3 linked regions of the Drosophila melanogaster genome follow. The protein of the gene in region 1 interacts with the protein of each later gene in a pairwise test. Each region holds a gene or a part of one and is shown in the gene's direction. Other genes may lie near its edges.

Evidence for each region. Proteins that work in one complex are often made in the same cells at the same time.
Region 2: the proteins of Sirt2 (region 1) and Sf3b3 interact in a two-hybrid assay, tested with the Drosophila melanogaster proteins (one large-scale study listed by BioGRID).
Region 3: the proteins of Sirt2 (region 1) and dimm interact in a two-hybrid assay, tested with the Drosophila melanogaster proteins (one large-scale study listed by BioGRID).

What each region holds. Positions count from the first base shown.
Region 1 is NT_033777.3:20,325,217-20,332,765, forward strand, and holds Sirt2 (sirtuin 2), read left to right. Parts: upstream 1-3,248; 5' UTR 3,249-3,372; coding exon 3,373-3,457; intron 3,458-3,512; coding exon 3,513-3,604; intron 3,605-3,660; coding exon 3,661-3,757; intron 3,758-3,812; coding exon 3,813-4,699; 3' UTR 4,700-5,699; downstream 5,700-7,549. Other genes in the region: CG4360 (uncharacterized protein), read right to left, coding at 413-936, 1,100-1,582, 1,657-2,320.
Region 2 is NT_037436.4:825,669-836,085, reverse strand, and holds Sf3b3 (splicing factor 3b subunit 3), read left to right. Parts: upstream 1-2,700; 5' UTR 2,701-2,826; intron 2,827-2,876; exon of another isoform or gene 2,877-3,024; intron 3,025-3,110; 5' UTR 3,111-3,145; coding exon 3,146-3,371; intron 3,372-3,446; exon of another isoform or gene 3,447-3,599; intron 3,600-3,678; coding exon 3,679-4,044; intron 4,045-4,077; exon of another isoform or gene 4,078-4,216; intron 4,217-4,295; coding exon 4,296-4,770; intron 4,771-4,843; coding exon 4,844-5,178; intron 5,179-5,357; coding exon of another isoform or gene 5,358-5,365; exon of another isoform or gene 5,366-5,464; intron 5,465-5,574; exon of another isoform or gene 5,575-5,649; intron 5,650-5,744; coding exon 5,745-6,052; intron 6,053-6,093; exon of another isoform or gene 6,094-6,234; coding exon 6,235-8,208; 3' UTR 8,209-8,209; intron 8,210-8,242; exon of another isoform or gene 8,243-8,322; intron 8,323-8,388; 3' UTR 8,389-8,440; intron 8,441-8,465; exon of another isoform or gene 8,466-8,549; intron 8,550-8,616; 3' UTR 8,617-8,663; intron 8,664-8,702; exon of another isoform or gene 8,703-8,774; intron 8,775-8,849; 3' UTR 8,850-8,904; and 7 more. Other genes in the region: CG42554 (uncharacterized protein), read right to left, coding at 1-150, 216-239; CG42553 (uncharacterized protein), read right to left, coding at 622-699, 756-1,307, 1,368-1,694, 1,751-1,909. UniProt on the Drosophila melanogaster protein: Involved in pre-mRNA splicing as a component of the splicing factor SF3B complex, a constituent of the spliceosome. SF3B complex is required for 'A' complex assembly formed by the stable binding of U2 snRNP to the branchpoint sequence (BPS) in pre-mRNA.
Region 3 is NT_033779.5:21,328,928-21,336,472, forward strand, and holds the start of dimm (dimmed), read left to right. Parts: upstream 1-2,828; 5' UTR 2,829-3,099; intron 3,100-7,545. UniProt on the Drosophila melanogaster protein: Transcription factor that regulates neurosecretory (NS) cell function and neuroendocrine cell fate. Acts as a master regulator of common NS functions such as Phm expression and neuropeptide production.

The sequences.
Region 1 (7,549 bases):
TAATAAAACGTTTTAGACTAAATGGCTTTAAAGTGCCTTAAGATACCTTTAACACACCGACTCAAATCGAACCATCATGGGATAGTATAGAGTTTAGGCCTAAACACCCTGTATCATATCATCTGTGGCTTATGCCAACACGGCTAGCCTTAATTTACAATTGGACACGCATGTGGATCAGCTCTCTACGATATAGTTACATACAATTGCGCTCTGCACAGCAGGTAAATAACACTTTCGAGTATATATTCAAATATAGTATTCATGTAATCGTATTCGTATGCCGTATATGCGATCTATAAGTGTATGTGCTATGTGGCATGCATATTGCACTATTCCTCAATGGCTGCTTGACTGGCTGGCTGGCTGGCTGCGGACCTGGATCGCGTTGCGATCTGGATCTGAAGTGGGTCTAGCAGGTGTGCACCCGCAGGTGGTTTTGCAGTGTGCTTTTTTGCCGGAACTGTTTAGGACAAAAGGAACAGTTGTAGGGCTTTTCACCGGTGTGGATCTTCATGTGGTTGTTCAGCGTGGCCACCTGCCGGAAGTTGACCTCACAGATCTTGCACTTGTAGGGCTTCTCTCCGGTGTGCGTCTTGATGTGATTTACCAAGGTGCTCTGCTGTGAGAAGAACCGCTGGCAGACGCTGCAGCCAAACGGCCGGTCCGGATTGTCGCCCTTCAGCATGTTGATGGTGCCCACTACGGTCATCCGGCCCGACGGCGAGCCGCCCGCCTGGAAATGCTCCACCTTGGTGTTGGCCGCCGCCGTGGCCACTACCGAGCTGACCGTGGTGCTGCCGTCGAGGAAATGCAGTAGCGGATGGTGGTCCAGCTGGATGATGTTCGCCGTGCTACCGTGCAGGTTGTTCGGCAACAGGCCACTGGTCAGCTGCTGCGTCCCGGGCGCCAGAGGAGCGGGCATTGAGTGATCCACTGCAGATTGACGGTACGGAGTTGGATTGTTGGATGATTTGTTGAAGTTAGCATGCGTACAAGATTTAAATAAAAGCTTCGTTAGGGAAGAGCGTTAATAATCAATGCACACATGGATAACAGAAAGCGGCTCATTGGTAGGGCGAACACACAAGCGGCTCACCTGTGGCTGTGACGGCGCCTCCGCCGCCTCCTGCTCCACCGACGCCTCCAGGCGCTATCTGATGCGTGTGCGTCTTGAGGTGGTTGGTAAGGGTGCTCTGCTGGCGGAACTGCATGTGGCAGTAGGAACACGTGTACGGCTTGTCGCCCGTGTGGATCTTCTTGTGGTTGGCCAGCGTCGCCAGCTGGCTAAAGGACTTGTCACACGTTTCGCACTTGTACGGCTTAGGATCGATGTGGGTCCGCTCGTGGTTGTGCAGCGTGCTCAGCTGCGGGAAGCGGCGCTTGCAAACGCTACACTGGAACGGCTTCACCAGCTCCTCGGCCGCCGGCGAGCTGTAGCTGCCGGAATACAAGGTCTTTGAGATTTGGACGCGCTGATGCTGCTGCTGGTAGGCCTGGTGCATCTGGGACTTTCGGTGTTTGCCACTGCCCGTCTGCGGCTGATAGTTCAACAGGGAAGTTGGCGTGCTGGACTCCGCCGCTGTTGCCCGTAAGCGAAGCGAGAAATAGAGTTAGGTCATAAGGTCTATTGGGACGATGCGACCACACACTCACCCTTGTGCGTCTTGATGTGATTGATCAAGGTGCTCTGCTGGCGAAAGTCCTTGGCGCAGATGTTGCAGGTGAACGGCTTTTCTCCGGTGTGGATTTTCACGTGGTTGGTTAGCGTCGAGATCTGGCGGAAGGCCTTGTCGCAGTGTTTGCACTTGTAGGGCCGCTCGTCCGTGTGGATCTTCATGTGGTTGCGTAACGTGGTCAGCTGCCGGAACTTGTTCTTGCACACGTGGCACTGTTTCTTCTTGCGCGGATCGTCCACCACCACCTCCTCCTCGCTAATCACGCTCTGCACCTCCTGTTTCATAGGAGAAATGGGCGTGTGGCTGCCCCCGCCTCCTCCGCCACTGTTCGCTGTTGTAGTGGATATGTCCAGCAAATGGACCAGCGGGTGCTGTGGATGGAGCATGGCTTGGTGGGTAGGGTGCTGGATGGCCTGCACGGCGGTGAGTTGATGCAGCGCAAAGGGACTCTGTTGCAGGCTGGCCAGTGTGGTGGGCTGCTGCTGTCCCGAGTTGGGACCCGGTCCAGATCCACCATTACTCCCTCCTCCACCGCCACCGCCACCTCCTCCTCCGCCGCCACCGCCATGGGAGGCTGGCAGTTGGTAGTGCTGATAGTTGGCCATGGCTGCCGTGGCGGCTGTCGCATGGTTCAGATGCATGATATTCGAGAGATATGATCCTAGCGTGGATCTACAGTCTGCCCATCGGCGGCGTTACACAATGGCGGCCACCGACGACCCTCGGCCATTCCCCGCCCCCGCAGTTGCTTCCACTGCGCCGCTCCTTTTGGGGCCTTTTTTGATTTGTTATTTCAGTCGTCTGGTTTGCACTTCTGTGTACTTTTGCTGCGCTGCTGCTGCTTCTTCTTCTTCTCTTCTTCAACACGCTGCTTACGCTTCCACGTAGCGATTGGGAGGGCCTGAATCCGCGGCCACTTTGTCGCGCACTTCCCCACGATCAGTTTCCACCGTTTTCGCTCGCTTTTGGGGCGCTTTCTCCGCCGTTTCTGCAGTTTTTCCAGGCCACGCTCTTTTTGTATCCGTATCCTTATCAAAACAAAAATGACTGGCGTGGTTTTCCAGGGCTGAGCGAACGGGCAGAGCTGCACCCCCGCCGAACATCGAGTAATCGACTATCGGCCGGCCAGGGCTGGTGGCGCTAGAGAGCCTAACACTGGGTGGGTCGATAACAGCTATCGATTATTTGGACACTCCGTGCTGACAATTCAGCTGATTTTAACCTTTCAATTAGTTTATATTCAGATATCAACAAAGTGTAATTGTTATTTTATCTATACTCGATTTTGTAACTTTGCGCCCTTCTTAGCTTTAGTTATTCTATTATTCGGTTCCTTTTTGTTTAATGAGTCATAATATGTTCTAACCGTTACAAACACATATTTATTTGCGACCCTTAATAAATCGCTGTTAAATAAAAATCTTTCATTGATAGGCTACTTAAAGTAATTATAATATTTTGGTTTGCTCGCACAAATTTGATTTTAAAATCTAAATCAATAAGCAATGAAATTAAAATTCTAGCTTTTTAATAGCTGTTAGAGATAACTTATTCGTTAGCCTAAACCTATCGATAGTTGTCAGAACTTGTTTTGCTTTTTACGTTAAAACAAAACGCAACATAAACAATTGGGAGAATTCATCACACTATCCTCAGATTTACATACTTTCACCGGAAGGTGAATCTGTTTACCATGGGCGACATCGAAGTAAAGAAGGAGGAACAACCGACGACGCCCTCCAATTCCTCGTCCAGTGACGACGACGAGGAGGCCCCAGGCTAGTCTAAATAGTTAGGTCTTTACTGTCACTCATTAATTGAATTGAATTCTAGACGACACAATGGATAAGGTTCGACGCTTCTTTGCAAACACTCTACATCTCGGCGGCTCCTCGGACGCAAAGGAGGAAGTTAAAGTAGAGAAGGTGAGCGGAGCACCCGATAATTTGATTATCATATTGATTAAATCGCAAATTTGCAGGTTATTCCAGATTTGAGTTTTGACGGCTTTGCCGAACATTGGCGTGTGCATGGTTTCCGCAAGATTGTGACCATGGTGGGAGCCGGCATATCTACATGTTGGTACATTCTATATACCATTGTAAAAACTTACTAAGTTATCGCCATTCCTAGCTGCTGGCATTCCGGATTTCAGATCCCCAGGTTCCGGGTTATACAGCAATCTGAAGAAGTACGAGCTGCCACATCCTACGGCCATATTCGATCTGGACTACTTCGAAAAGAATCCAGCGCCGTTTTTTGCACTGGCCAAGGAACTTTACCCTGGATCCTTCATTCCCACGCCGGCCCACTACTTTATCCGTTTGCTTAACGACAAGGGACTACTGCAGCGCCACTACACCCAGAACATAGACACGCTAGACCGGCTTACTGGCCTGCCCGAGGACAAGATCATTGAGGCCCATGGCAGCTTCCACACCAACCACTGCATTAAGTGCCGCAAGGAGTACGACATGGACTGGATGAAGGCGGAGATCTTCGCCGATCGTCTGCCCAAATGCCAAAAGTGCCAAGGCGTTGTTAAACCAGACATTGTTTTCTTTGGCGAAAACTTGCCAAAGAGATTTTACTCCAGTCCTGAAGAGGATTTCCAGGATTGCGATCTGCTGATCATCATGGGCACATCGTTGGAAGTGCAACCGTTTGCTTCACTGGTGTGGAGACCAGGACCACGTTGCATTCGCCTCTTGATCAATCGCGATGCAGTGGGTCAGGCCAGCTGTGTGCTCTTTATGGATCCCAACACGCGATCGCTACTCTTCGATAAGCCCAATAACACTAGGGATGTGGCCTTTCTGGGCGACTGTGATGCTGGCGTAATGGCTCTGGCCAAAGCCTTGGGCTGGGACCAAGAGCTGCAGCAGCTAATTACAAGTGAAAGGAAGAAACTGAGCGGCAGCCAGAATAGTGAGGAGCTGCAACAAGGCAAAGAGAAACCGCAATCGGACCCGGATAAGATGACTTCGGGCGATAGGGACAAGAAGGATGCTTCGCTTTAGACCCTAAGATTAGTTAGTAACATCCGTAGTTAATTTGTAGTTGAATTGTGCAATTTGTTTACATGTGGATTACGTGTATAAAGCGGACAATGCCAAGCGCAGGCATTGCTGGCTAATACCGCGAGCTTTCTTTCTCCTCCGTTTCCGGCATTCAATTATTCAAGTGCCATTTGTGAGCCATTAGCGTGTCCCTTTTGGCCGGGCCACCATAAACCGCAAAAACTGATTGAGTTGCTCTGCCGTTTCCGGCGCACAAAAAGCAGCAAACCGCCAACAAAGGTTAACTCTCGACATGTTTCTGTTTCGTTTTCTGCTCTGATCCGGGCTTGGCTATGGATTTCGATGCTGGTGTTGGTGTTGGTGCTGATGCTGATTTCGATTCAGTTACAGCTGCCCAGCCCCTCGACATGGCTCGACCGCTGCTGTGGGCGTGGCATGTGGCATTCTAACTGCCTGTTTGTGTGGCTTACACGGATGCTGCTCCTGCTCCTGCTCCTCCTCCTGCTGCTGCTGCTACTGCTGCATCAACTTAATGACTCGCAATCTGTCCTGCAGAAGCACACACGCACAAAGCGAAAGAGACACACACGGTAGACCGGTAATGAAGCTTCTGCGGTGAATTGGCCAATAGAAAATACGTACGGGCAGGACTAATTAAAACCAAGCTCGCAATCGGGCCAGCGGATAGCTACTGCCGGGGTACACAACCGGATATTGTTAATCGTTGACAGGGGCGACGGTTCGGAGGTGGATGCATGGTATGATGGGAGGCATCCCAGCCTGTCAACTTCGGGACATGAATGGCTGCAGATGCATTAGGAAATCAAATGCAGCCACGGAAATATTGATAGCCACGCAATTTGTTGCAGTTTCAGCTGCCACTGCTGTTGCCATTGGAATTGCACTTGCTTTTGGCCCAAAACTTTTGCAATTAAAGCTAATGGCCTAAGATCTTGTCTATGTGCAATTTTCCCGAGTCTTGCCTTCTCAGCGAATGTTTTGCTGCACAAATAAAAATTATTTGTGTTCGCATGAAAAAGTTAAATAAATATCGATTAGCTCATCACGTTACGTTATTCAATACAAAGATTAGTTTGAAACATAAAAATAAATACGAAAAAGAAATATTCAGACTAACTGTTCACACATGAACACGAATATATTTAAAGACTTACAATTTTGGGCTCCGTTCATATCTTATGTAAATGAATCGAGAGCGATAAATTATATTTAGGATTTTGTTATCTAAGGCGACATGGGTGCATTGCTCAAAAACATGTAATTTAAGTGCACACTACATGAGTCAGTCACTTGAGATCTTTCCCCGCCTCCTAAAATAGTCCCTTAGTGGGAGACCACAGATAAGGTCCTCGCCGCTCAAGATAGGCAGATGTGCCCGAGCGTGGGACCTCGATAAGGCGGGGACTATTTACTTAGGCCTCTGCGTAGGCCATTTACTTTAAGATGCGATTCTCATGTCACCTATTTAAACCGAAGATATTTCCAAATAAAATCAGTTTCTTACAAAAACTCAACGAGTAAAGTCTTCTTATTTGGGATTTTACACTAACTATTGTGCTTATAAAGTGTTATATGTAATTTTTAATCAATTGACGCGAAAATGTTTAAATAATTAAATTTTCATAATATTCCTTTTTTCACAAGGATGTGATATAAAATTAAGATTGTATTGTATATTTAGTTGTGCAATAAAAAGTATGACTCTTGTATGGCATTAGCTATATTAATATGTTTAAATTAAATCATATTTATCTGGAAAACCTTTCATCTTTTTATATTATTTGTAGATGACCTAACGTAGAAAATAGGTTCTTCTAGCTTTTTGTCAGTGTCTCGGCCCACTCAGTCAAAATTGAGTCAAGTTGGCTCAATATTAACTTGACTTTCACCCCTCCTTGCGAGAAATGCGGAACGCCATTAAGTGCACTCCATACACACGCCATTGAGGAAGCCGGGTTTGTGGTAACCGAGGGAGGGGGCAGGTCATATTTGAGTGAGCATGTTTCATATTTGTAATCAAAATGCGATGCTTGCGAATCAGACCCAAGCTTCAACCATCACCACCCCCTCTACTCGCTGCGAGCCTGTTCATCAATGGCTTGGTAAGAAAGGCGGGGGGTTGATGAAATCGTGGACATTCCACGATGTCATCAGCGGCAGCTGCGCTCGCGCTTTGATATTGAATTCTTAACATGATTGTGTGGCGCACAGCTTGGCCGGGAATTGATTGAGCGCCCAAACAGAGAACCCATTTTGAACAAGGCCAATAACTCAGACGGGGCTAATAAAGCTGGGATCGCCATTGATTGTTAGGCCCTGGCCACAAACATATTTAATGGTCGTTTACTCTAAAATACATGCGTGGTTATCGTAGCGCAATCTTTATGAATATTTTATTATTTCTTTAATAAAAAGAAAGCAGAAGGAACCGCCACGGCGGCTGCCAAATGCCGTCCTCAAAACGCAATTTGTGTCAATAAATGTGGGTACAAGCGTGTGAGTTTTTATGAGGGGATTGCGCACAGCGTGCGACAAAATAATAGGTTTTCTTAGAAGCTGAACTTTCTACGCAATTTAAAAATAGTCAAATTTCTATTTGGTAATGGCTTATTATTCCAAAAATGGACAGAAGCTTATTAAAATGGCATATACGACTGAATACTTTAAAAAACTTTCAAGAAATAACAATATTGATAAAAATCATATATCTAAACTTTTTTTTAGACTTGGTGAAAAATATTTTGTTTAAATGATTCCAATCGTCGTATATATATTCCAATTCAAAGGATTAATTAAATATAAACTAATTTAAAAAAAAAATTAATCCAT
Region 2 (10,417 bases), on another chromosome or scaffold:
CAATGTGTCCAGAACTTCCTTGGATTTGGGCAGAGCCACCCGTTTTTGGGCATCCTGCATGTAGATTAGGGATGTTTCCAGCGCTTTAATGGCCTCCTCATAGCGGTGATTGCGTATAAATCGCTCCGACCTTCGCTCGTGGAAATGAGCCTTTGATTTGGGTAGGTAATTCCATTTAAAACCATGTAAATTCGATGTTTTCTTCGGGTTCTTACCAAGTTCAGTGGTGCGCAGTCCATGTTTTTGACTGTTTTCCCGTCCTGATTTGAAATTATATGATTGCTCTTGTAACGTTGAAATTGCCAGGCACCTAAATTTTAATAATTATATTCCCAATTGCAATATTGCCTGTTTTATGCAAGCAAAATGTCGTCTATTTTTTTGCAAGAACGCAGTTTCCAAAATTTCACTTTTGTTTACATATGTTTTATGCGCGAGGTGTGGCAGCTCTGTCATGACAACAATCGATAAGAGTCGTATGTATCGTTTCGAATTTTTAAAAACCAATCGAATTCAAATTTGAAGGATCTTTATTTAATAATTATAACAACTTTGTGTAGAGCAGTTTTTGAAAAAAAATCACATAAAATTTATTTGAATAGCCTTAACGCTTATTGGTTTTTAAAGCGGTCTTCCTGTTGCCTGCTTACCTTCGGTAAGTGCAACTGAAGCGTGTACAAAAACAGGCACATTGATACCCTGTAAAGCACAGACATTAAAGACAGGACAAAATCACATTTTCCATTCATGCATACCTGCATCTTAGCTGATCTCACAAAGGCCTTATTCGAAGTCACAGTGAAAATTTGCCTGGCCATGCCGAAACTAAAGATTTTCAGACTTCGCTCGTTTACGTTGGCAGTGAAACGTATGTGGGAGAATTCTTCGGGTATTGTTTCCACATCCGGATAAACGGTGACCCGTTTCATCAGTTCCTCGGCTCGCTTCCGTTCGCCCTCGCCGCCTACAATATCCAAAATACTCTGGAAGGCATCGTAGGCTAACTGGCAGCAGACCAAGGTTTTTCCCTCTAGGATTTTCTCGAGGAGCGGTTTTAGCGGCGAGGCTCTTTCCCTTTCCGCCTGTTCGGTGAGCAGAGGTTCCTTGTAGACCCAATTGGCGGATCCGTTGGTGAGCGCACTAACGTAGGCCAGCAATGTGGTCACATCTAGATTCAGTTCGTTCGACGTCGTGGCGTACATATCCAAGTCGGTGTCTGGTGAGTCCAGGGAAGCAGTTTGTACGCCCATTTCCATTAGCTCTTCATGCAGGGAGTCCTCGATTTTGTTGGAGAAGTAGAATACTATCTAAAAGGCAGTATATCAGATGATGAATGCTGTCTAGGGTAGCATACTATTAGGCATTACCTTCGGCCTCTGGAACATGCAGAAACTAAGTTCGCTGGCCTCCAGATAATCCTCCGCCTGGTCGATGACACTTCGGGCTCCGATGCTGACACATCCCCTGGCCGCGTCCTCGACGGACTTCGAGTTCCTGGCTATCACCTTCACCCACTTGAGTCCATTGTTGGCCACGATGTCGACTCTCAGGGGACTATCCCTAGACTCCAGGCGGAATACGGCATTGATGTCGACTACTCCTTGTTGCAAACGCAGAGTTTTAATGAGAAAATCGTAGTAAACAAAGTTACTGCTGGTTATGTGGTGTTCCTTTACGGACCTTGTAGTAATCACCTTGAAGGAAAATGCTTTTACTCAATGTTTTTATCATGAAAAATAGGCAAACAAACCTTATTTAGAAATTTGAGCTCTTGCTGAATTTTTCGCTGTACTTTGCTGACACCAGGCAAATCTTCGAAGTCTTTCAGCGCTTTCTTCAGCTCCTCGCCCAGTTTTACTTTCTTGTGGGCTTCTTCGTAGAGCTTTTCTCGATCCTCTTGCTCCTCCATATTAAAACGTTAGCAATATTTACAAAAATCACGAAATATTTGTTTTTAGCTGTCAGCTGTTTTGAAGAAGCAAAGATGCAATGACATTTCAGGTTTTACAACACTGACAATTCCATGACTGATTAGAGATGTCGCGAATCTGAAGTTGGTATATCGATAGTCAACAAACCTAGTTTACTAAGTAATAATTGATGATTTTTCTAATTAGTCTAATAACATGAGCCAACGCCGCGTAAAAATATACTCAAGTAGAGATCGAATAAACAGAAAAAAATAGTTGGGGACTGATCTATTTATTTTTTTTAAATACCTTTAAAGTTTTCTCCTTAATCATACCTTAATAGCATAGTATTGAGCCCAGCCCTTTAGCCACAATTCGGTGAGTGGTTTTGTTTTCATTTAAGCCCATGATAAAAATTTTTTAAGTTAAAGAAAGATAAAACGATTGATCCAGTACATATTTTTACAGATCCTTGAAATTTTCCATTTTTTCACAGAAAATTGCATATTATATGTTTAGCTTTTGAGGCAGTTTTTGGTATGTGGAACTGGGATTGGCCCATGGCAATTTCCGAATATTTAAATGTGGTATATTTAATAAAGGATAAATTCGATATATCTTGACCAGGATTTTTAGGAAACTTATGATTTCTGCAGCAACAATTTCCAGTAAAATAATTATTTAATTTATAATCAGTCTGAACCGGGCCTATTATCGATAGGAAAATCGACGGCCGCGCACTATCGATAAGTCAAGCCACATTTTATGCACCACCATTTTTACTTTTATAGTTCTTTTACTTTTTGTCGGCGAACAGAGCAGATGTGAAAATGAAGAGTTCTGAGTAATCAGGAAAATTCGAATCCAAAGGCATCGCTGGTGAAATGTGCTAATTCATCCATTTAACCAGCCGAAGGTAAACAAATACACGTGCTAGCACTGATATCTACTATTATTTAAGCGCTTTCCGCACGAAGTATCTCCAGAAATCAGAAATGTCTGTGCTTTGGTCGCATTTGAAGCGTGCTAAACTAAGAATTAAATGCTGCTTACTAGCATCGTTAGGCGACACGACTTTCCATACTGTGGCCATGGTTTTCAAAGTAGTACAAATTCACAAAAAAAAAAATACACCGCCATTCACGTGACTTTTTCCCTTGTCTGCAACTGTACCTAACCTCAACATTGCTTCTCTTGCAGTCGTGGACAAAAGTGAAAGAGTGTAGTGCTCCACCATGTATCTGTACAACCTGACCCTGCAGAAGGCCACCGGCGTGACCCACGCGGTCCACGGCAACTTCTCCGGCGGCAAGCAGCAGGAGGTCCTCCTGTCGCGTGGCAAGTCGCTGGAGCTACTGCGTCCGGACTCCAACACCGGCAAGGTGCACACCCTGCTCTCCACGGAGATATTCGGATGCGTTCGCGCCCTGATGGCCTTTCGACTGACGGGCGGCACTAAAGGTGAGTCTTTCAATTGTAATTTAGTTTTGTACCATCAATTGGGAGTAATGTATTGCTCCTATATAATCTATGTAAGTCGCACAAATCCCTATTGAGGCAACAGACGGCTAGTTGACCCCAGTAAGACCTTTGAACGCGTCTAAGTGCGAGAGAAACCGAAAGACTTGACGTCGCATTTGCCATAAACCAACTCAACGGAGTGGCGAATTGAAACTTCGAGTTACAAAGTCAATAAAATATCATTATAGTCATTAGAAAGTGTTAAATGTATGACCCTAATCTCGAATATCGTTACCTTGCTTTGCAGATTACATAGTTGTGGGCTCGGACTCGGGACGCATCGTGATCCTCGAGTACAATCCCTCCAAGAATGCTCTTGAAAAAGTGCACCAGGAGACGTTCGGAAAGTCGGGATGTCGCAGGATTGTGCCTGGGCAATACTTTGCCATCGATCCTAAAGGAAGAGCCGTGATGATTGGCGCCGTGGAGAAGCAAAAGCTGGCCTACATCATGAACCGGGACACGCAGGCTCGCCTCACGATCTCATCGCCCCTGGAGGCCCACAAATCGAATACACTGACATACCACATGGTCGGCGTGGATGTGGGCTTCGATAATCCCATGTTCGCCTGCCTAGAGATCGACTACGAAGAGGCCGACATGGATCCATCGGGTAAGCATCAACTAGGTGGCGTGTAGACCCTAGAAGGCGCTTTAATTCACAGGTTTAGTGGATCCACACCACGAACACTGACTGTACTTAGTGCCAGATAAATCGTGATCACTGAACCATTGGTGTTGCTGTAATTGCCTAGCCACACTTCACTGATTTGTGACCCACACTTCCTAATCTCAATTGATAACATTTTGATAGTACAATGCTATAGTCCTGTAACTAATCAGTGTCGCATCTATTTGTTCCAGGTGACGCCGCCCAGCGCACTCAGCAAACGCTGACTTTCTACGAGTTGGATCTCGGCTTAAACCACGTGGTTCGCAAATACTCGGAGCCCTTGGAAGAGCACGCCAATTTCTTGGTATCCGTGCCTGGGGGCAACGATGGTCCTTCGGGCGTGCTGATCTGCTCGGAGAACTACCTAACGTACAAGAATCTCGGCGATCAGCACGATATCCGCTGTCCCATTCCGCGCAGGAGAAACGATCTGGATGATCCCGAACGTGGTATGATCTTCATCTGCTCGGCCACACATCGCACCAAGAGCATGTACTTCTTCCTGCTGCAGACCGAGCAGGGAGACATCTTTAAGATCACCCTGGAAACGGACGATGATGTGGTCTCCGAGATCAAGCTAAAGTACTTCGATACAGTGCCGCCGGCAACTGCCATGTGCGTGCTAAAGACGGGTTTCCTGTTCGTGGCCAGCGAGTTTGGCAACCAGTGAGTATCTACAAATCATTCATTTGAGAATAATATGAATGGGTACTAATTGAGGTATTTGTGTAACCCTCAGCTATCTATATCAAATCGCTCATCTGGGTGACGACGATGACGAGCCGGAGTTCAGTTCGGCCATGCCTTTGGAGGAGGGTGAAACCTTCTTCTTTGCGCCACGTGCCCTAAAGAACCTGGTGCTTGTGGATGAACTGCCCTCTTTCGCACCGATCATCACCTCCCAGGTGGCTGATCTGGCCAACGAGGACACACCGCAACTGTACGTTCTTTGCGGACGAGGACCGCGTTCCACTCTGCGGGTGCTGCGCCACGGCCTCGAGGTGTCCGAGATGGCCGTTTCCGAACTGCCTGGTAATCCCAATGCGGTTTGGACTGTGAAGAAACGAGCTGATGGTGAGTGTGTCTGCGGGCATTAATCATGATTCCTAAGCTAAGATTAGACTAAGACTGAAACGTGGCTAATAACTCAACTGGTGCATTGATACAGATCGAGATATAGATTACACCTAGCTTTACGCACGATTCCAAACAAGTCCCACAAGTTATCAACCACCAGTTCTCTCTTATTTCAGGCGCTTAAACACAGACGGCAATATGTGTGAACTATCGAAAAAGACAAGCGATTAAAGAGAATTTCTCTCGTTTGTGTAATTTTAAATTGTCTTTTGTGAAGCGATAGGTAAGGCAACATTTACTGCAGCTCATAAGTCAAACAGATACTACAACTACCACTGCTACTATACCAATGAAAACAGAACAAAAGCTAACTATATTTAAGCCAGTCGGACATTGAACATGATGCGATATTTATCAACCGTGTTTCAGCTGAATTATCCATTGATTACAACTTGATAAACTGATTATTCAATGTCTTGTGTGATACGCAGATCTTTTTCGCTTGCTCGATTCAAACTGAAGTACTCACGTTCCAAGTATTGTTTTGCTCCCCTATTTTTTAGACGAGTTTGATGCCTATATCATCGTGTCCTTCGTGAATGCCACCCTGGTTTTGAGCATTGGCGAAACCGTCGAGGAAGTCACGGACAGCGGTTTCCTGGGCACCACGCCCACGCTCTGTTGTGCCGCCCTGGGCGATGATGCGCTGGTTCAGGTTTACCCCGATGGCATTCGACATATCCGATCCGACAAGCGTGTGAACGAGTGGAAGGCTCCGGGCAAGAAGTCCATTACCAAGTGCGCCGTGAATCAGCGCCAGGTGGTCATCACCTTGTCGGGCAGGGAGTTGGTCTACTTCGAAATGGATCCGGTAAGCAATTCTACTACTATATTACACTCAACTGTTGACTTCTTGCTCTGATGACAAAAACACGAAAAGAACAATCATGTTGAGACACTATGTGTCCTGCAGTGCTGAGCTTCAAAATCAACCAAAAGCCTTATCCTCGTTTACTTAACTTCACAACTAATGAATACATTTTATGCTTGCAGACTGGGGAGCTGAACGAGTACACGGAACGTTCCGAGATGCCTGCTGAGATTATGTGCATGGCCTTGGGAACTGTTCCGGAGGGCGAGCAGAGATCCTGGTTCTTGGCCGTCGGCCTGGCGGATAATACAGTGCGCATCTTATCGCTGGATCCCAACAACTGTCTCACTCCCTGCTCCATGCAGGCCCTGCCTTCGCCAGCCGAATCCCTTTGCCTGGTCGAAATGGGTCACACGGAGAGCACGACTCAGGGAGGTTTGGATGACGATGCTCCCGCTCAGCGCAGTGGCAACAATAAGGGAACCATTTACCTAAACATTGGCTTGAGCAACGGTGTCCTGCTGAGAACTGTGCTCGATCCTGTTTCCGGAGATTTGGCAGACACCCGAACGAGATATTTGGGTTCCCGACCCGTAAAGCTCTTCCGGATCAAGATGCAGGGATCCGAAGCGGTGCTGGCCATGTCCAGTCGAACCTGGCTGTCGTACTACCACCAAAATCGATTCCATTTGACGCCTCTGTCTTATGAAACCCTTGAGTATGCTTCTGGCTTCTCGAGCGAGCAGTGCAGCGAAGGTATCGTGGCTATATCCACCAACACCTTGAGGATCTTGGCCCTGGAGAAACTGGGAGCCGTCTTCAATCAAGTAGCGTTCCCCTTGCAGTACACTCCACGTACCTTTGTAATCCATCCGGATACGGGACGCATGCTAATTGCCGAAACCGATCACAACGCCTACACAGAGGATACGAAGAGTGCCCGAAAGGAGCAAATGGCGGAGGAGATGCGCAGTGCAGCTGGCGATGAGGAAAGGGAGTTGGCCCGCGAAATGGCCAATGCTTTCATCAACGAAGTCCTTCCCGAGGACGTGTTTTCGTCGCCCAAAGCAGGACTGGGTCTTTGGGCCTCGCAAATCCGTTGCCTGGACGCAATGCATGGTCAGACGATGTTTAGTGTGCCGCTCACCCAAAACGAGGCCATTATGTCGATGGCCATGCTGAAGTTCTCCATAGCGGCTGATGGCCGGTACTACCTGGCCGTGGGAATCGCCAAGGATCTGCAGCTGAATCCCAGGATTTCGCAAGGCGGCTGCATAGATATCTACAAAATAGATCCCACTTGCTCCAGTCTGGAATTCATGCACCGCACGGACATTGACGAGATTCCTGGAGCCCTGTGTGGCTTCCAGGGTCGTCTACTAGCTGGCTGCGGTCGAATGTTGCGAATCTACGATTTCGGCAAGAAGAAAATGCTGCGCAAATGCGAGAACAAGCACATTCCCTATCAGATTGTCAATATCCAAGCCATGGGTCATCGTGTTTACGTGTCGGATGTTCAGGAATCAGTATTTTTCATACGCTATCGTCGCGCGGAGAACCAGCTGATTATATTTGCCGATGACACGCATCCTCGATGGGTGACGGCCACCACCTTGCTGGACTATGATACCATAGCCATAGCCGATAAGTTTGGCAACCTGAGCATTCAGCGATTGCCCCACTCCGTAACGGACGATGTGGACGAGGATCCAACGGGCACCAAGTCTCTGTGGGATCGTGGCCTGCTGTCAGGTGCTTCACAGAAGTCGGAGAACATTTGCTCCTTCCATGTGGGCGAGATAATCATGTCGCTGCAGAAGGCAACGCTAATTCCTGGAGGATCGGAAGCCCTTATATACGCCACGCTAAGTGGCACTGTTGGAGCATTTGTTCCGTTCACCAGTCGCGAGGACTACGACTTCTTCCAACATCTGGAGATGCACATGCGCAATGAGAATCCTCCACTCTGTGGACGCGACCATCTCAGCTACAGGAGCTCGTATTATCCGGTCAAAAACGTACTCGACGGCGATCTCTGCGAGCAGTATCTGTCCATTGAGGCAGCCAAGCAGAAGAGCATAGCTGGCGACATGTTCCGCACTCCCAATCAGATCTGCAAGAAACTGGAGGATATTCGCACGCGATACGCCTTCTAAGGTGAGTTGGAATCGATATGCCTATGGGACATAGGTTTTTGTGATGACATAGCTATTTTACCTTGGGACACCTATGAAATGCCTTGATTAGCGTAAACGTCAATATCTGATAAATACTTTGCTGAATTTAGTCTTTTATGATTATTGAACAGAAAGCTAACAATTGTTTATATTTTGCAGATGCCAGCAAAGGAACACTTCAATATCATGGAAACTTTTCTTTTTTAACTAGGTAAGTTGGTTTCTATTTATAGTTGTTTTCAATGATGATTTTCGAGTTTTACCTTGGGACACCTATGAAATGCCTTGATTAGTGTAAAGTTATGTTTTTCTGATAACAAATTCAAGCGTTTATTGATTGAAAAGCAAAGAAATGTTATTAATTTTGTATTTCTCTTTCTATTGCAGTTTTCGTGGGCAAAACCAACAAACGCTGCACCTAAAACGTTTTAAAGGTAAGAAATTGTAACGATTAAGCCACATTTTCGTTGAGTTAAACAATGATGTTATTTTACATATGTTAGACTAATGAAATGATTTGATTGTAAATTAGTAACTGAGAATGTTTTTAAAATTAAAAATTTCAATACTTATTTATGATAATTACTGGATCGATTAGTAAATTGATGCTTTCTTTGCAGTTTAATCGGAAAATTCCAATGACCATTAGACCATTACATTAGGAACACTTTCAAGGTACGTAATATATATTTAAACCACTTCAATTTAAATAAGCTCTATGATGTTATTTTACATATGTTAGACTAATGAAATGATTTGATTGTAATTTAGTAACTGAGCTTATAGCTATATTTCACTGTGTTTAGCATTTTAATCGTGGTTAAATCATAACTAATTTCCTTTCTTCACTTGCAGATCTTCTTACGTTGGGGTATGTTGTGGCGCTTAATTCTAACTAAATTATACACTAGGTAAGTGATTAAACAAACAGTGCGCTTTGAATTGAAACTAATTCACAATTTCCTTTGCAGATCGTACATCTATACTAACTGCACATTAAATCACCGATCAACCACTAATCGACTGCCGCATATTTAAACTAGCATATAAGTCAGTGCAAACTCGACAAATTGCACAACCTAAATATAAACCCCTAATCATAAGCAATTTTTAACTTAAATAAAAGTAACTGAAAACAAAGCCAAGAATGCGAGGTGATTTTGTTGTGTGGTTCTGGCGGAGACGACGACACGCTTTGCATAATTCCATTTGAAGTTCGCCTGTCTTGTTGCGGCCTGATTATGGCCATTACCATGTGTCTTGGCCATTACATCTCGGCCTTGTTTGCACTGCTCTTCATTTTCCCGGCACGGAGAGTCCCGTTATGGGACAGATAGGCAGATATTTGCTAAACGCCTCGCTTTCCATCCATCCGCCCGGTATGTACATACGCAAAATCGTTGTAATTTGTTATGTTTGCGGCATAAGCACGGTAGTTATGCAAATTGTCTGTCGGCCCGGTGGTCGATCACTTGCTGCTCCCAAACGAGGCGAGTGGGGCCAGAAATGGCAACTTGGACTTTTACTAGCCAACGCTCAAGGCGGAGCAGCATTATTGGTCTGGATCACCCAGTTTAGAAAGTCAAAAGAAATATAATGAAAATCAAAGTAAGAGTGTAGAATTTAAAGGTATAATACCTTGTAAATTGGTTTCAGTAAATCAATTTGTGCATCCAAAATATATAGTATCTATAGTATCCATAAAATCGGACATCTCTGACATTCCATACTGTCTCGTTCCTGAAAATCCACAGAAGCAGCCTTGTTTGCGATCTGGAAAAGAGCTGTGCCATCTGGCTAAACGATTTATTAACTTCATTTCTAGATCATTAGATCGCATAACACGGACATTCGTCACTTGGCACTGGTTTTTCTCGGCTAGCCTCTTTTTTGCCCGACTGGCACGCAAGTGCAGTCTGCAATCTCCAATCTCTAGGCAGCATCTACGCATGCGATTCGCGCCGCCTTTCCTGTTCAGCTCCGCGATCTGTGCCTTCGATAAGGACAATCAGCGCTTGGCGCAAACACTTGGCACCCTTGGACAAAGGGGTGGAGGTGGGGAATGGATGGGGAGAACAGCCAGCCCTGCAAACACCTGCCACGCCCCTTCTGCGGCGCCTTGAAGCAGTTGCCATTTCTTCTGGGGGAGATGGGCAGATACGGCGTCGAGGAGATGAGCAGATGCCCA
Region 3 (7,545 bases), on another chromosome or scaffold:
GATAAAAGCAAATAAAAAGGGAAGAGGGACTTATTTTCAGTAAATAAACTTTTTCCTTGGCTGACTAATATTAAACAAATAATGCAGCGATGCTTCATTTTAATTCAGTTTTAAAGCAAGTATTAAATCCAAAAGCATCAGTTATAATGTTCCCTCAACTCAGAAAGGTCTTTCCTATCATTTCGAAGAAAACTGAGAACTTAATTTCCCGGGTCGGGGTAACGCTCCTTTTACATGCAACATATTTTTAAATTCATACATTACACCATTATATTATCCACCTCAACAATTATTTATTTAATATAAGGCAAATTCCAACTTTGACTTGGAATAAACAATTACAATTCCAGCAGTGAACTTAACATATTTTTTTTTCTTAGTGTTCTATACATGAAAGTTTTATCCATGCAATATTGCAGCAATTATTGAAATCCCTTTGATCCAAATCAAACAAAAGAAATATTAGTCATATAAAAAACCGCATACGCACATATTCGTGGAGGGAAGCTCGCAACATTCGAATAAGCAAAATAGCTTTCCTAGCAACATTTCATTATCTGCCGACAATAGTTTATCATGAGATAAAGCCCTCCCGATAAGGGCATAAGCACTGTGATAACCAACAGCAACAAGAGCGTGGACAAACAGACGATAATAATAATAACAGTATACAACTCACTCAGTCAATCGGAGTTGGTAACAAAGGAGCTGGCGACAGCCAAGTGGAAAGTCAGCCGCAGTCGAATGCAGGCCGTCGCAAGCAACATGCGTCACATGTACTAATCAGGCTAGTCATCCGCCTCTCACTTAGACCCTTGCACTATGGGAAATTTACCCACTTTTTCTGGCTAAAAGCCATTTTCTGAAAGTCGGTCGATTAATGCAATATTTAATAAGTCTATTCATAATTGACCAATGTTTAGAAATAAATATATATGGAGCAACAACAAAGAAATATGCTGTTAAAAACATCTGTTGCGTCTACAAAAACATTTACGTTAAGTTTTTCCTCCGTTACAAAAGTTGTAATGAAGCAGCTGATTTAAGTGTATTAAGTTTATGTGACTGTCAAAATAAAAAAAAATCGTGTTGTACCCAAAATTGAGTAAAATATAAATTTCCTTACAAAAGCATTTGTTTGATAAAGACTTAACTTAAAAAGTCCATCAATGAAATGTACCTCATGTTGTAGCTTTGTATTCTTGTTAAGTTTTTTATGCTAAAAAGGAGTTCAACAAGGCGGTTGCTGATTTGTTGCTGATTTGTTTTATTATTATACCCGTTACTCGTAGAGTAAATAAATTCGTTGAAAAGTATGTAACTGTCAGAAGGAAGCGATTAAGACTATATAAAGTATATGTTCTTGATCAGGATCAATAACCGAGTCGATCTTATCATGTCCGTCTGTCCGACTATCCGTATGAAGATCTGGCCCTGTCCGTCCGTATGAACGGCGAGATTTCAGGAACTATAAAAGCTAGAAGGTTGAGATGCAGCAGACAGATTCTAGAGACAGACACAAGTTTGTTGACCCATTTTTCCACGCCCACTCTAACGCCCTAAAACCGCCTAAACGGCCGCATTTTGTGAAATGTTGAAATGTTTTCAAAATTGTATTATTCTTGTAAATTCCTATCGATTTGACAAAAACATTTTTGCCACGCTCACTCTAACGCCCTAAAGCCGCCGAACCGGTTAAACCCACACTTTGGAAATTTTTTCTCATTTTATTCCCCAAAAATGATTTATTCCCCAATCTGATAGTCGGAGAACTCGACTATAGCATTCTCTTTTGTTTTTGTTAGTATTATTTTATATAAAGGAGAATTCCCTTTACGAAAATTAGTTAATTAAATATAAGGCGTGGTGCCACGCCCACAGTTTTGGAAGTCTCATAGATATGGTCTAGTATAAGTCAATGTAAGAAAAGAAAAACCAAATATCTTACTCCGTTCTGGAGTTATTCATTTTGGTCAGAAAAAGTGGTAAAATTTCCCATAGTCCCTTGTGGGTGCCCCTGCCCTATGGCTCAATACCCCCCTCTGGAGTTGAGCCTGAGCACGTGGTGTCCATGTCTAGGAACTCCGAGCCACAATCCACCCCGTTGGGCAAATATGTGGTGGCGTTGGAACTGCATCTGTGTATGTGTGAGCTAGCCTGGGACAACGTGCCGGGAAGGGTATATTCGTTTTACGTTTTTACGTTCGTTTTTCATGGGACCTAGTACTTATTGATATAATGTCGGAGTGAGTAGAGGAACGTCATGCCCTGCCAACGGAGTTTTGGTTTGATAAATACTTAATATTTCGCATTTGAGTTTCGAGTTGAGTTTATTTAATTTTGGGTTCGAAAACAAACACTTTCTTGGTTTTGCAGTCATTTGGCTATGAAACTTTAAAAATAGTGCAGGAAATACCATTACACTTTAATGTGTCGAACGGAACTCGCATTAGATACATTCGTAAACATTTTCATATAAAAAAAATTTATTCAAACAGTTACTTAGTATTTATATTAAGGAGTTATCGTGGGTACGGACTGCAATGTCAATATGCAGGCATTAATTAAAGGACCCCAGATAACATAATCCTCTAATTTCAGCGGTGCCACCTCAATACTTTGGAAAATACGAAAAAAAACACTCTGACTCAGAAATCCACTCCGTTTTTGAGTATTTTCAGTTGCTCTCCATTCGCCAGTCTGTTTCGACTCAGGCTCTCGTGCGGGCGGAAGCTCCAGCCCCCTCTGCTGGGTGGACTTGTTGCTCGACTCGACTCCCATCGGCCAGGCTTGTGATTCGTCTTTTGTCTGGACTCGGGTCGGCCGATGGCACCGCTTCGTTCATTCAGCCATTCCACAAGTGGCCGTCATCACCAGCGCTTCCGCGTTTCCGGTAATCGTTGTGCGCTCCCGAGATATTTGATTCGAATTGTGCGGAAGTTTTTAAAAAATACTATTGCTTAGAATTCGAAAACGAAAAAGGATAGCCAAGGATCGATATATATTTAGCAAAAATGAAATGCAGCGTGAATTGTGAGAGTTGTTGAAAAGTGACTTAAATATTTAAAAACATCGTGGATTAATTACATCCAAGTACATGTAAGTTGTCAGTACAATTAAGCTGGCTGAAATGCGTTGTTGGGTTGAGTTCAACAATTTTGACAAAGTAAACTTACCTTATAAAATAAAGCCGACTAATTATGAAAAGCTTACACAAGCAAACCATTGAAAAATAAAAGAAAGCATAGAAAACTAATTTTATTTCTTTTCAACAATCGGTAGTCATTCGGGCTTGGGATAAGTTTACTTCATTTACAAAATTCCCCATACACTTGTCAACTGCAGTATACGTTGTTGTAACTTAGCGGGTGGACCGCACAGAAAAGGCAAACAATTGCTCACAAAAGTATGCTTTATTTAATAGAAAGCGTAATAAATATTACACAAGACCAGGTGCAGGTTGCATCGCTAAGATCCTCAAACCCCTATTTAGCGCTAACAAAGAAAGTGAAATTTTCTGTTAAGTCTCCAAAGGAAGAAGTAGACATTTCTATTGTAATGCCTTGATCGAAGTATGGTTTAACCATTCCCATGAGATGACATTTAAAGGTTGTGCGGAAGTTTTCAAAATAAATGAGTCCAAGAATTTTCTAGGATTATACGTTGGATTCAGGCTATTCATCTACTGTTGGCTAATCGAATGTTAAAATTATTCTCTCCCTTTAAAAGCCAATTGAATTATAAATACTGTTTTATTGTTTAATAAAAATAGGCGATATACAAATTAAAGAAACGGTTAAATGGAATTTATAAATCTGTCCTTTGAATAGACCCCCGATGTGTTAAGCCATGTCACTTTTCTCAACATTTCTTAAGAGACCCCAAAGAGTCTGAAGTCCAAGGAGCTGTTGTCGTTAAATAATAGCGACACTTTTGTTTCATTCAACACCGACGACGGAATAAATGCACTGCAAAGTGCGCGGTTTCTAACAACAAAGTCAATGCACATTTCTCGTCCCGCGTATTCCTTGGTCTGTCTCACGCTTTAAACGCTGCTGCAGGTTCCGGGTCAAATGCTGGTAAGCCAAAGGGCATAACCATAACAACGACAATGCGGCAAAAGCGTTTCATCGGTAAATGTTTTTTATACTCCTCAACTCTTGGCAAAAAAAGTATATTGTATACATACAAAAGAGTTTAGCAAGAAGTTGATGTATTCGCAAATTAAAGAGAATATTAAGCGGGTAAACTTTTATTTCATAAAAATAAACCGCCATAATTTTTAATTCATTTTTGGGACATGTTTCATTTATCTTTGCATTGCGATATAATTAAAATAGATGGTATGAAACCTTAATTTTTTAATCGTAATGACTTAAACATTCTGGCCACGCCCACTCTTACGCAAGCATGATTTTTTTCTAGACAGTACGGTGATATATAGTATGTTACATGAACCGTGTAGTTACAGTGCCCTATAATGGTGAACCGGTTCGCGAGCCAAAACTCTTTTAAATAATCATTACTTTTGCTAAATGAAAATCTTTCACAAATTCACATACTTATACACATTAAAGTGAAGCTAACAACGTGACAACAATTGATGTCCGGCAAGCATCGCATCTTGGGGTCTCTCTTTTTCCAGAACCCTAATACTTATCCGTGGTTCAGCAGCAAGCACCTCGATGATAGTGTCTTCTCTGGAAGCGAAAAAAGGCGTCGCCGGATGTAGTAAAATAGTCGTCCTCGCAGTTGTCCTGTGCACAGCCTTGATCCGAATTCTCATAAGTCCCTGAGATCAGCAAGGAGACCATTTTGGCAACGAAAATCACACGCCTGCTGTTGACTTCTGCGTTGGCCGATTAAACCCAACCAAACCCAAAACTTTTAGAAGTCCGAAGTTCTCATCGACTCAGGCTCTTTATATACAAAATCCATAGCCATATACAGAATCACAAGAGTTTGTGAACACCACTGTACCATTACAAAAGACAAGCAATCGACGATGTACAGCACTGCGCTAAATGAAACCAAAAGATGGCCTTAACTATAATGGCTCGCAATATCTATCTGGTGATGTTTTAAACGAATAAAGTCGAATTCTTGTTCAAAGAGGGCATTTTTCGTGGTCAGTGGCAGTGCAAACCGCTGCATATGACCGACCGCGATTTTTTAGAGCACCTTCGATCTGGTGAAAAAATATTATCAGTTACTAAAACCGCAGTTTACACTTCTTTTTAGTTTTTTTGTTTTAAGGGTGTGCAAACGATAAGAAAATAATAATAATGGTTTTGCAAACGTTTTTAATTGATAATATTTAGTTGTAAGCGATGGTCAAACGCTTTATGTCATATATTTTCTAAATTATACATTTTTTCAAATTCTAAAAGGTGGTCAAACGTGAACAAACAATGGTATTGCGATTTAAAAAAAAAACCTCAACTTCTTGATTTTATATCTTTTTCGAAAATTCTGATTTCAAAAATTGGACGTGGCAAACGATACCAGATTTCAAATTAAAAGAAATTCGATTTTTCCGAACCTAGCAGTCCTTGAGCTATAAAAGCTAAAAGGTTGAGGTTAAGCATACAGATTCTAGAGACATAGAAGCAGCGCAAGTTTGTTGACCCATTTTGCCACACCTACAAACTTACCAAACCTGTCACGCCCGTGCTTTTGAAAAATGTTTTGATCTTTTTTCATATTTTCGCTGGTGTTGTAAATTTGATAAACAAAACTTTTTGCTATGCCCACTCTAACCCCCATAAACCGCCTATTTCATTCTAATTGTATTCTGATATCTGGGTTCCTGATAGTCGGGGAACTCCACTATAGCATAGTCTTTTGTTATTGCTGTGCACGGGGAATTAAACGTCACAATCAGCGAGTAAAAACACTAAAAATTATACACGTCATCATTAACTATTATCTAGGTGCCTCTTCCTTTCTGCACGTCTTTAATTATTACTTTCAGAATGTTAGTATGAAATTCATCTTATTCCTAAAGCAGAACTTATGTGATGTGTCATGTGGCCAGATGGCATCATTTTTTTCGTTAAAAAAGTATTTGACATTGAGAAAACTACTGCATAAACGATCGAGAATCGCTCTCTATTCGTGAATAGAGGGGAAAATATTATAGGCAAGTTCGTCATCTTGGATACATTTCGCAGGGTGTCCGATAATGTAGCCTGTAGTGCAATCACCATCGCCATGTCTCCGTCTGTCAGTTTACAGCAAATCCACGATGCACAGGGATCTGATGTCAAGCTAATGATAGGAAATACTTCTCTTCAACGAATTCACGACGAAATTATCAACTAATTTCGTTTAAGGTGGGCGAAGGCTATTCCTGTGACACTTGTTGGTCAGAATAGGTTCTACGTTTCGAACCACCTAACAAAAACTCAATTCATTTACTCTCTCATCTGTCGGGCTCCACAGATCTTTGTAAATCTTTTGTAAGGCATTTGTCAGTAATGTAAAAAAAAGAAAGAATGCTATAGTCGAGTTCCCCTACCTATCCCCCATCAGGTACCCGTTACTCAGCTAGTGTGAATGCGAACGCGAAATTTTATAATTTTTCGATAGATATTGGAGAATAAAATGAGAAAAACTTAAAAATATTTTCTAAAGTGTTCGGCGGTTCGGCGGCTTTAGGGCGTTAGAGTGGGCGTGACAAAAAGTTGTTTAGCAAATCGTTCCTTTGTTTTAATAATCTAGCGGAATATACAAGGCTATTTACTATATCTAAATACTACTTCCAAATTTTGAAATCAATTTAGAATAAAGACGTCGGGAGTTATTTTTATTTTTTTATTTTTTAACGATAAAAGCTGGAGCATTGAGATTTTTGTCATTTTATTATTTTTCTTGCCACAAAATTGTTAATGCTTCTTGTTCGCCGTCCCTCTACCTTAGTAATACACGTAACACGTAAAGGCTAGGTTTCCCGAACATAAATAGTTAATCTATTCTAAATTAGAACCATTAGCCGATTCCATCCCAAAATTTTCGTTTGTCCGTAAAAGCTTTGAGAGTTTTTTATCTAGTCAATAGCCACTGTAGCTAGTATTTCGGCCATAAGGTATAAATTTCTCAGGCACTAAAATATGGTGAAGTAAAAGCGGAAACATTTATTTCTGGTCATGAATATTCATCTAAATGTCACAATGGGTTAACACATTTACCATTAATTAAAAAGTTATGAGATTATATGTATAGCCGCTGCTAGATTACCTTATTTTTTTTTGGCAGGGAGTAAAGTAACGTGTATATTGTAGTCGAGGTAAACAAATATAGCGTTTATGTTATTAATGCAATAGATTCGACGTATGCTTCCAGCCTACTGCAAGTGGGAAGAGCTACTTTAGAACTCAACATTCCCATTGACACCTGCAGTAGGCTGAACCCCTCACCAAGTAGGTCTCACGGCCATAAGGAGGCCTCCCATTTCAAGCATAGAGGCTAGGGACTTGCTCAGCCACAAAAGACGCCTCAGAAGACAGTATTGAAGTACTACTAATAGACTGCGCCGTCTGCTAG